2 linked regions of the Callithrix jacchus genome follow. The protein of the gene in region 2 interacts with the protein of the main gene of each other region in a pairwise test. Links are inferred from orthologs where the notes say so. Each region holds a gene or a part of one and is shown on either strand. Other genes may lie near its edges.

Region 1 (4,241 bases), on a different chromosome or scaffold from region 2:
GGAGGAAAGAAGGAAGGAAAGAAGGAAGGAGGGAAGGAAGGAAAGAAGGAAGGAAGGAGGGAAGGAAGGAAGTAAATGAAAAACAAAAAAAGAAAAGAAAGAGGGAGGAAGGGATGGAGGGAAAAAGTAAAAGGGATTCTATACAAGCTGGAATATACCAATACCCTTCCCTGCCCCATGTCTTCACAGCTGTGTGGCAAGTGAAGACCAATGAATCCAGGCTTCCTCATGCTTGTACTTATCATTATTCACTTAGGAAGGGTGAGAAAAGAAATGCTAATTACACGTTTACCGAATTACTTTTACAAGAATCAAAATTTCTCACTGCAGTCAAGAAAAAGAATGAGATAGAGCTGGAGGCCATTATCCTTAGCAAAGTAACACAGGAACAGAAAAGCAAGTATCATATGCTCTCACTTATAAGTGGGAGCTAAGTAAAGAGATCACATGGACACTAGGAGGGGAACAACAGACACTGGGACCTACTTGAAGGTGGAGGGTGGGAGGAGGGAGAGAATGAGAAAAAATACTGGGTACTATGTTTAATACCTGGGTGACAAAATAATCTGTACACCAAACCCCCACAACAAGCAAAAATTGACATATAACAAACCCGCACATGTACCCCTGAACCTAAAAGTTAAGAGAAAAAAATTGTATTAAAATAAAAACAATTCTCACTGTGACAATATTATCCCCTTGTGATTATATTATGTTCCCAAGTTTTAGGCACTTTCATATCCTGTTCGCTGCCCCCAGCTCTCTTAACACAGCATCTAGGACATAGTGGGCGCTTATAAATACTGATGATATTAAACTGAGCGCTTATGATAGCATATTTAGACCAGTGCGTTTCAAATGTCAAGGTGCATGTGAATCCCTGGGGACATCGTTAAAATGCAGATTCAGAGTTAGAAGGTCTGGTTGGAGCCTGAAATTGGGCAATTCCACCGACTGCCCATATGATGCTAGTCTACGTTCTATATTTCTCAAGGTCTCAGAAAATGAGACCTCCCTATCCATATACAAAATATAAGTCACACAAACTGTGATCATTTAATGAAAGTTTACAAGGAGCATAGAAGTAGATGTTTCCTCTTTTAGGCACCCCTGCCCTCCCAAAAAAAGGAGATGCGAGGGTTCAACGGAAAGTGTTGCAACAGCGTCCAGGCGCTCACTCTCCCGCGGTCTTCCAGAGACAGGGAAAGGGGTAATGAGAGGAAGGAGGGAAGTGTCCAGGAGCTCCCACGCTGCTGTTCCTTTTTCATTTCCAGCTTTTAAGGAGCACCCGCCCCTTCGAACCACCGTGGTCACGGGCGAACACACCGGAGAGCAGCGCCGCGCCCCCCTGCCCGCCTCCGCGCCCTTGCCCAGACCGAGGCGGCCGACGCGCCTGCGTGCGCGCTAGGTATAAATAGGTCCCAGGCGGCAGCCACTGGGCAGAACTGGGCTGCGGCGCCGCGGGCCATGGCGGGCGAGGACCACCAGTGGCAGGGCAGCATCCTCTACAACATGCTTATGAGCGCGAAGCAAAGGCACGCGGCTCCTGAAGCTCCCGAGGCGCGGCTGGGGGATCAGTGCTGGGGCTGTTCGTGCGGCGATGAGCCCGGGGTGGGCAGAGAGGGGCTGCTGGGCGGGCGGAACGTGGCGCTCCTGTACCGCTGCTGCTTTTGCGGTAAAGACCACCCACGGCAGGGCAGCATCCTCTATAGCATGCTCACGAGCGCAAAGCAGACGTCCGCGGCACCGAAGGCGCCCGAGGCTAGGCTGGGTCCGTGCTGGGGCTGTTCCTGCGGCTCTGATCCTGGGGTGGGCAGAGAGGGGCTCCCGGGTGGGCGGCCCGTGGCGCTCCTGTACCGCTGCTGCTTTTGCGGTGAAGACCACCCGCGGCAGGGCAGCATCCTCTACAGCTTGCTCACGAGCGCAAAGCAAACGCACGTGGCTCCGGCAGCGCCCGAGGCACGGCCAGGGGGCGCATGGTGGGACCGCTCCTACTTTGCGCAGAGGCCAGGGGTTAGAGAGGGGCTATCAGGCAGGCAGGCCATGGCTCTTCTGTACCGCTGCTGCTTTTGTGGTGAAGACCATCCGCAGCAGGGTAGCTCCCTCTACAGCATGCCCACGAGCACAAATCAAATGCCCGCGGCTCTGGGGGAGCGGCCGGGGGCCACCTGGTGGGACATCTCCTGTGGTGCGCTGCGACCCGTGGTGCTCAAGAATCCACAGGTGGTCTGCGAGGCAGCCTCAGCGGGCCTGTTGAAGACGCTGCGCTTCGTCAAGTACTTGCCCTGCTTCCAGGTGCTGCCCCTGGACCAGCAGCTAGTGCTGGTGCGTAACTGCTGGGCACCCCTGCTCATGCTGGAGCTGGCCCAGGACCACCTGCAGTTCGAGACTGTGGAAACCTCAGAGCCCAGCATGCTTCAGAAGATCCTGACCACCAGGCGGCGTGAGACGGGGGGCGACGACCCACTGCCCATTTCCACGCTTCAGCCTCGTTTGGCACCGCCGGCGGAGGCCAGGCAGGTGCCTTCCGCCTCCCAGGTCCAAGCCATCAAGTGCTTTCTTACCAAGTGTTGGAGTCTGGAAATCAGTACCAAGGAGTACGCCTACCTCAAGGGGACCGTGCTCTTTAACCCGGGTAAGGGTACTGGCCTTGGGCGCCGGCTTTTCCCACCTCACAAAAGCATCGGGCAGTGCCTATCTAGGGGTGCAGGCAATAAGGAGATTTCAGTGATCAGGAGAGTGTCGGGGCAAAGGTGAAGAAATCATGACTAATTCAGCAGAGTTGGGGTGGGGGGCTCCAGGAACCGCTTCTTTTTGGTGGGATGCGGTCAGAAACTCAGCGGAGAGGAGGGAAGTTGTTTAGGTTTGTACTTAGCTCTCGACACATTTCTTACAATAGAAAGGTTTGTGTCTTCATGGGAAATGGTTATTCTTTCTTCTCTAGTTTTCTTTTAAGTCTAGAGCATATCTTTTTTTTTTTTTTTTAAGCTTTTGCTCACTGAAGATTCTGCAACATCTATTTCTGAAACCCCATTCTGAAATTTACTAGAACCTCTTTTGGGGGGAGGAAATCTATTAAGGCTAGCGAAAAAGGAAACATTTGTTAAAAGGTCCCATAGAGACACCATTCTCTAGGGACACTGTCAGGCAGGACACTGAATGTAGTGTTTCATGGGCCTGCCTCTGAATGGTTATTTGTATGGTCCTAAGCATCTGGACTATCCCTTCCTCCAAATTTCTGTGAATAATATCAGGTTGGTAAGGGGATAGGGGAAAAAAAGACACATTAGGGACTGAGAGCAGGAGCACTGTATTTTAGAATTCAAAGAGACCTTAGAGACCTCCTAATCAACCCCCTTTTCTCTGTAGCCTTCCCCCACCCCATTTTACTGAGTAGGTAGTTGGGTCCCAAGGTTCCAAGTGACCTTACTCCGGAGTAAATGGCTGGTGTGTTGTGGAACCTGAGGGTCCTATCTTCTGGGCCCAATGGGATGTCGGCTGCACCAAGCTTTCAGGCTGTCTGTTGGGTGCTAGACACACTGTCCCACAGAATGCAACCAAAATCATTGGAGGAACGTCTCCCTGGACAGCCAGGCATCTTGTCTTGGGTGTTTCTCGCTACTAGAATCTTCAACCAACATCTTTTCAAATGATTGAAGTGGGAACAAAATTTTCCAGGCAACTTGAGTGGGGCTAGTTTTTATAATGCTCCTTCTGTATCTTTTTTCCCTGATGCTGGAGTCTGTGATTATGTTCCTGCCCCCTGCCTAGCATTTTTGAAGGTGTATAGATAAGTATTTGGTGGGATAATAATTCATTCAAACTTCACTTTTCATGACATAGAGACCTCAGCTCACCCCAGTGACTATTACAGATTATCTTTTTGCTTATACCATTGTTTTCCAAACTTGCCTGTGCATAATGAGTACTTGTGTGTGTGGCTGGGGGTGGGAGGCAATAGATGAAAGTCTTTCCAGGCTCCTGCCTTATAGATTCTGATTCACTAGCTTTGGCCCAGGGTCTGCAAATCTGCATTCATAATAAGTGTCCCAGATGATTCTTAAGATAATTTAGAAAACAGTCTCCATACTCCTTCAGCCATTTTTAATCATCCACTGCGTTCCTTGTCCTGTTGGGATATAAAGGTGACAGGGGCTCAGCTTCCAGAAATTTACACTCCAATGGTCTCAGTATCAATACTTTCCCTCTTTTCTTTCCCTGTTTTATATAATTCACACACA
Region 2 (3,500 bases):
TGCCTTCTAGTTTGATGTTGTAGAAATGCTGCACGGCCTTGGTAGAGGTCTGCCTCAGGAGCGGCAGTGTCATCAGCATCTTGCCAGCTCGACGAGGGTCTTCCATGTGCTGGCCAGCTTCATAATCCTGTAGCGCCTCATGTAAGACATCCTGAAGCTTTTGAACGGCTTCAACATCTTCTATGTGCATGGAGTCTGCGCAATGAAGCAAAAGATATAAGTCATCACATTAATAACAAACCCATATAGTCTAGAGTTACAAAATTAGTTATTTTTGAACTTCTAAGTTTGAAACTGATCTGTTCAGAGTCTCACATTTCTACAACCTATTTCTACATTTCCTTACATAATTTCAAATACTAACGTGGAAGATGGGAATTATTAGAAAAGATCAATTATTTAAAATGTGTATTTTTCCTCTTCAGGCTGAGCAAGAGAAGGCTTTCTTCTAACATATTATAATCTTGACTATTTTATTCATTGCCTCATCCAGGTATATATTCATTCACTCAACAAACAACCATGGAAGGCCATCTATTAAAAGTATTATCCTTAGTGCTGTGTAGGGGAAGGTTGTTTAAAATTATGATATTGCTTGCAAAAAGCCAATATTTCCCAAAAAGGAGGAAAAAAGTTGATGACTAAGATCCTAAGAACTCCATGTGAATGCATGGAATCTAGCACTATACAGAAATCACAATAAATTATTTATCCTTTTAAGATATTTAATGTTCTAGTATCAGTTCATTAAAGCATCCTGACATAGTCTTCTTCCCTGATTAAAAACAAATGGTATCTTCAGATCACTGAGTTCTGAAATATTTTTCACATTTGTAAAGGTGAACTTTACCCTTAAATGACAAATTTGAAAATCTAATTCAATCAAGCAAAGAAAGGGTTAACAAGGTTGCCACAATTATTCTTGTGAGAAATGTGAGATGTGGGGAAAAAAATAAAAGTTACAGCTCCAGCTCTAAAGCAGACACTTAATTATATACAAGTTTGAATCATTTAGCACGTTTTATTGATTCTGATGACAGTTTATCTGTTAATTACACATAATGGAGTCTTTGGGGGATTCTTCATGTTTAATAATTCTAGTTCTCTGAGAATGCTGAGCTCTAAGATATATGTAGTTAGCCTAATCTTTCATATAATTCAAACATAGATCACATGAACAAAAAGAGGGAATGTAATTTAAAATCAAGTGGCTAAACATATAATAAGAAATATGGCAAAGTAATTAAAAGAGAGATGGATATAACTAGGAACAGATCTTAAAGATGTATTTGTATTTTATTCAATGTTCTTTTTTTTCCTTTACATTGGCATTTGAGTCATTAGTGGTCACATCGTTGGTGAACTGACCACTATTCACAATAGGTAGTTTAATGACAACTCCGTAAAAATTTTTTGAATAATCTGGAATAAAGTTGCTTATTGCTCAACACTCAATTTCTGCCTGGCAGAGCAAAAAGGAAGGAATTCTTCCAAGTGGGAAATAGTGTTGATAGTAGTGCCCTGGAGCAAGACTCAGGTCACTCCCCAACATACGCTTGGCCTTTCCCTGGGGATTGTTTCTACCCAGCTTCTCTCCAGTCTGGTTCCTCTCAGCATGGCAATCTCATCCACCTCCTATAGTGCTCTTAGAAACAAACAAACATAATTTCTAAAGTTGTCTAAGAGTTGGTGAAGTTAGGGACAGAAAACACAGTCATAGAGATGATGGCAACATGCTCTGATATTCTTTCTCTCTAGTTTTGCACTTTATTGCTACCTGAAGGAAAAATGGGGGGCATGGGGAATCACTATGGCGAGTCTTTAGGTAGACAAAAGACTGCAATAAGGACCTTGTGCATGAGGGAGCAGAGATGAGTTGGACTTTCCCAACTTATCCGGAGTCTAATGATTAGCTCTCTACAGGAAAACAGGAATAGATGGAAGGAGAAAATGGGAATTACACACTGCAGTGAAAAGTCAACCTTGAAATACCTATTTTCCAACTAGACTAAAACACACCAGAATAAAAATAATACATTTACCAGTTATTTAGCACCTATTTCCGGTGAACATGGCCTCATTTTACCTCCCCAAACCCTAGAAGACAGGTGGCACTGGTAATACATGTCAGTCTCAGGTTTAAATTCAGGATTCTTCAAATCAATCATGCTGCTGGAATACAGAACACTAAACATGCATTCCCTTAAAAAATGAGATGGACTGTTCTCTAAACACATCCCATTCAAACTCCCATCTTCATCAGCCATCTTTATAACATTCCTAATGAAGACATTGCCAGGCGTATATTAAGTACGTAGATTCTCCTTGACAACAGGCAAAACTAATTATTGTCTTTTTAAAATTTTCCTAAATATGTCTCCAAATTCTATCCTGTGGTCCTGTTCTAGTAGGAACAATACGGGATAAACTTCTTTTTCCTACATGGCATATCTTTAAATGCTTGAAGTCAGCTACACAGTTACCTACCCCTAGTCTTGCCTTTCCCACTACTCTTGCCCGGCAGGAGATATATTATAGGATGTCAGGGGAAATGAGGCGAGAACAAATAGCAGAGAGATATGCTCACAAACAGCAATTAAGACTTCAAACTATTCTTTAAAGGCTGTGATTTAGCATGAGAGATTTAAAAATGATTTAATCAAATTACTATGATAATTTAACTTCCCATTTGCAGAAAAGATTCTAACTCATTTTAGCTTTACCCATTCTCAGATCTGCTAATACTTTAAATGCAAACTCACTAAATCTGAACTATTTAATTAGACAATGATTCAGCTGGCAGACTGCTGAAGAAAATATTAATCTCCATTAGGGATCCTAGTTCAAGTTCTGGATCTGTGGTTTTAATCTCTGTTTTGTTCTTTTGGTTAAATTTACATGTTGATGCCAGGCTCAATAGAACTGGTATTAATGTATGTAATTATTTAGTTTTCATAGTTCGTGCTAGTTTCTTTTAAACTAGGCTTTAAAGGAAATAGTCCTAGTGTTTGTGCTAATGGGAACCAGCTAAACTTAATAGCAATCATGAGTTTATGAACTAACTAGACAGGAAACACTGGGTGAGGTCTTAAAAAACTTGGTTACTGGCCCCAAGTCTAGTAAGTCAGAGACCAGAACTAGGATATCAGCATTGCGAAAAATCTAGGTAGTTCTACTGCCAAGCCAGGATTGAGAACTACTGCATTAGACAGTAAGACAAACAAATACTATTCTGAAAGAATCAAGATTTCAAAAGATAACCAGAGTGTCTATGACTGAATTTAAACCTGAGACTGACATGTTACCAGTGCCACCTGTCTTCCAGGGTTTGGGGAGGTAAAATGAGGCCACGTTCACCTGAAATAGGTGCTTAATAAGTGACATATGTATTTTTTATTCTGATTACATAGAGGCAACACATATAATGGCCTCTATATTAAGTCTCAACACCTAATAATAAAATAGAACCTTATCATAACATCCAATATTTTACTCTGTGA

The links. The genes of interacting proteins can lie anywhere in the genome.
Region 1: the proteins of ESRRG (region 2) and NR0B1 interact in binary tests that used the Homo sapiens proteins (3 or more experiments, as listed by UniProt). The link is inferred for Callithrix jacchus from reciprocal best matches to the Homo sapiens genes ESRRG and NR0B1.

What each region holds. Positions count from the first base shown.
Region 1 is NC_133524.1:31,194,502-31,198,742, reverse strand, and holds the start of NR0B1 (nuclear receptor subfamily 0 group B member 1), read left to right. Parts: upstream 1-1,441; 5' UTR 1,442-1,467; coding exon 1,468-2,635; intron 2,636-4,241. UniProt on the Homo sapiens protein: Nuclear receptor that lacks a DNA-binding domain and acts as a corepressor that inhibits the transcriptional activity of other nuclear receptors through heterodimeric interactions.
Region 2 is NC_133520.1:12,667,716-12,671,215, reverse strand, and holds part of ESRRG (estrogen-related receptor gamma), read right to left. Parts: intron 196-3,500; coding exon 1-195. UniProt on the Homo sapiens protein: Orphan receptor that acts as a transcription activator in the absence of bound ligand. Binds specifically to an estrogen response element and activates reporter genes controlled by estrogen response elements.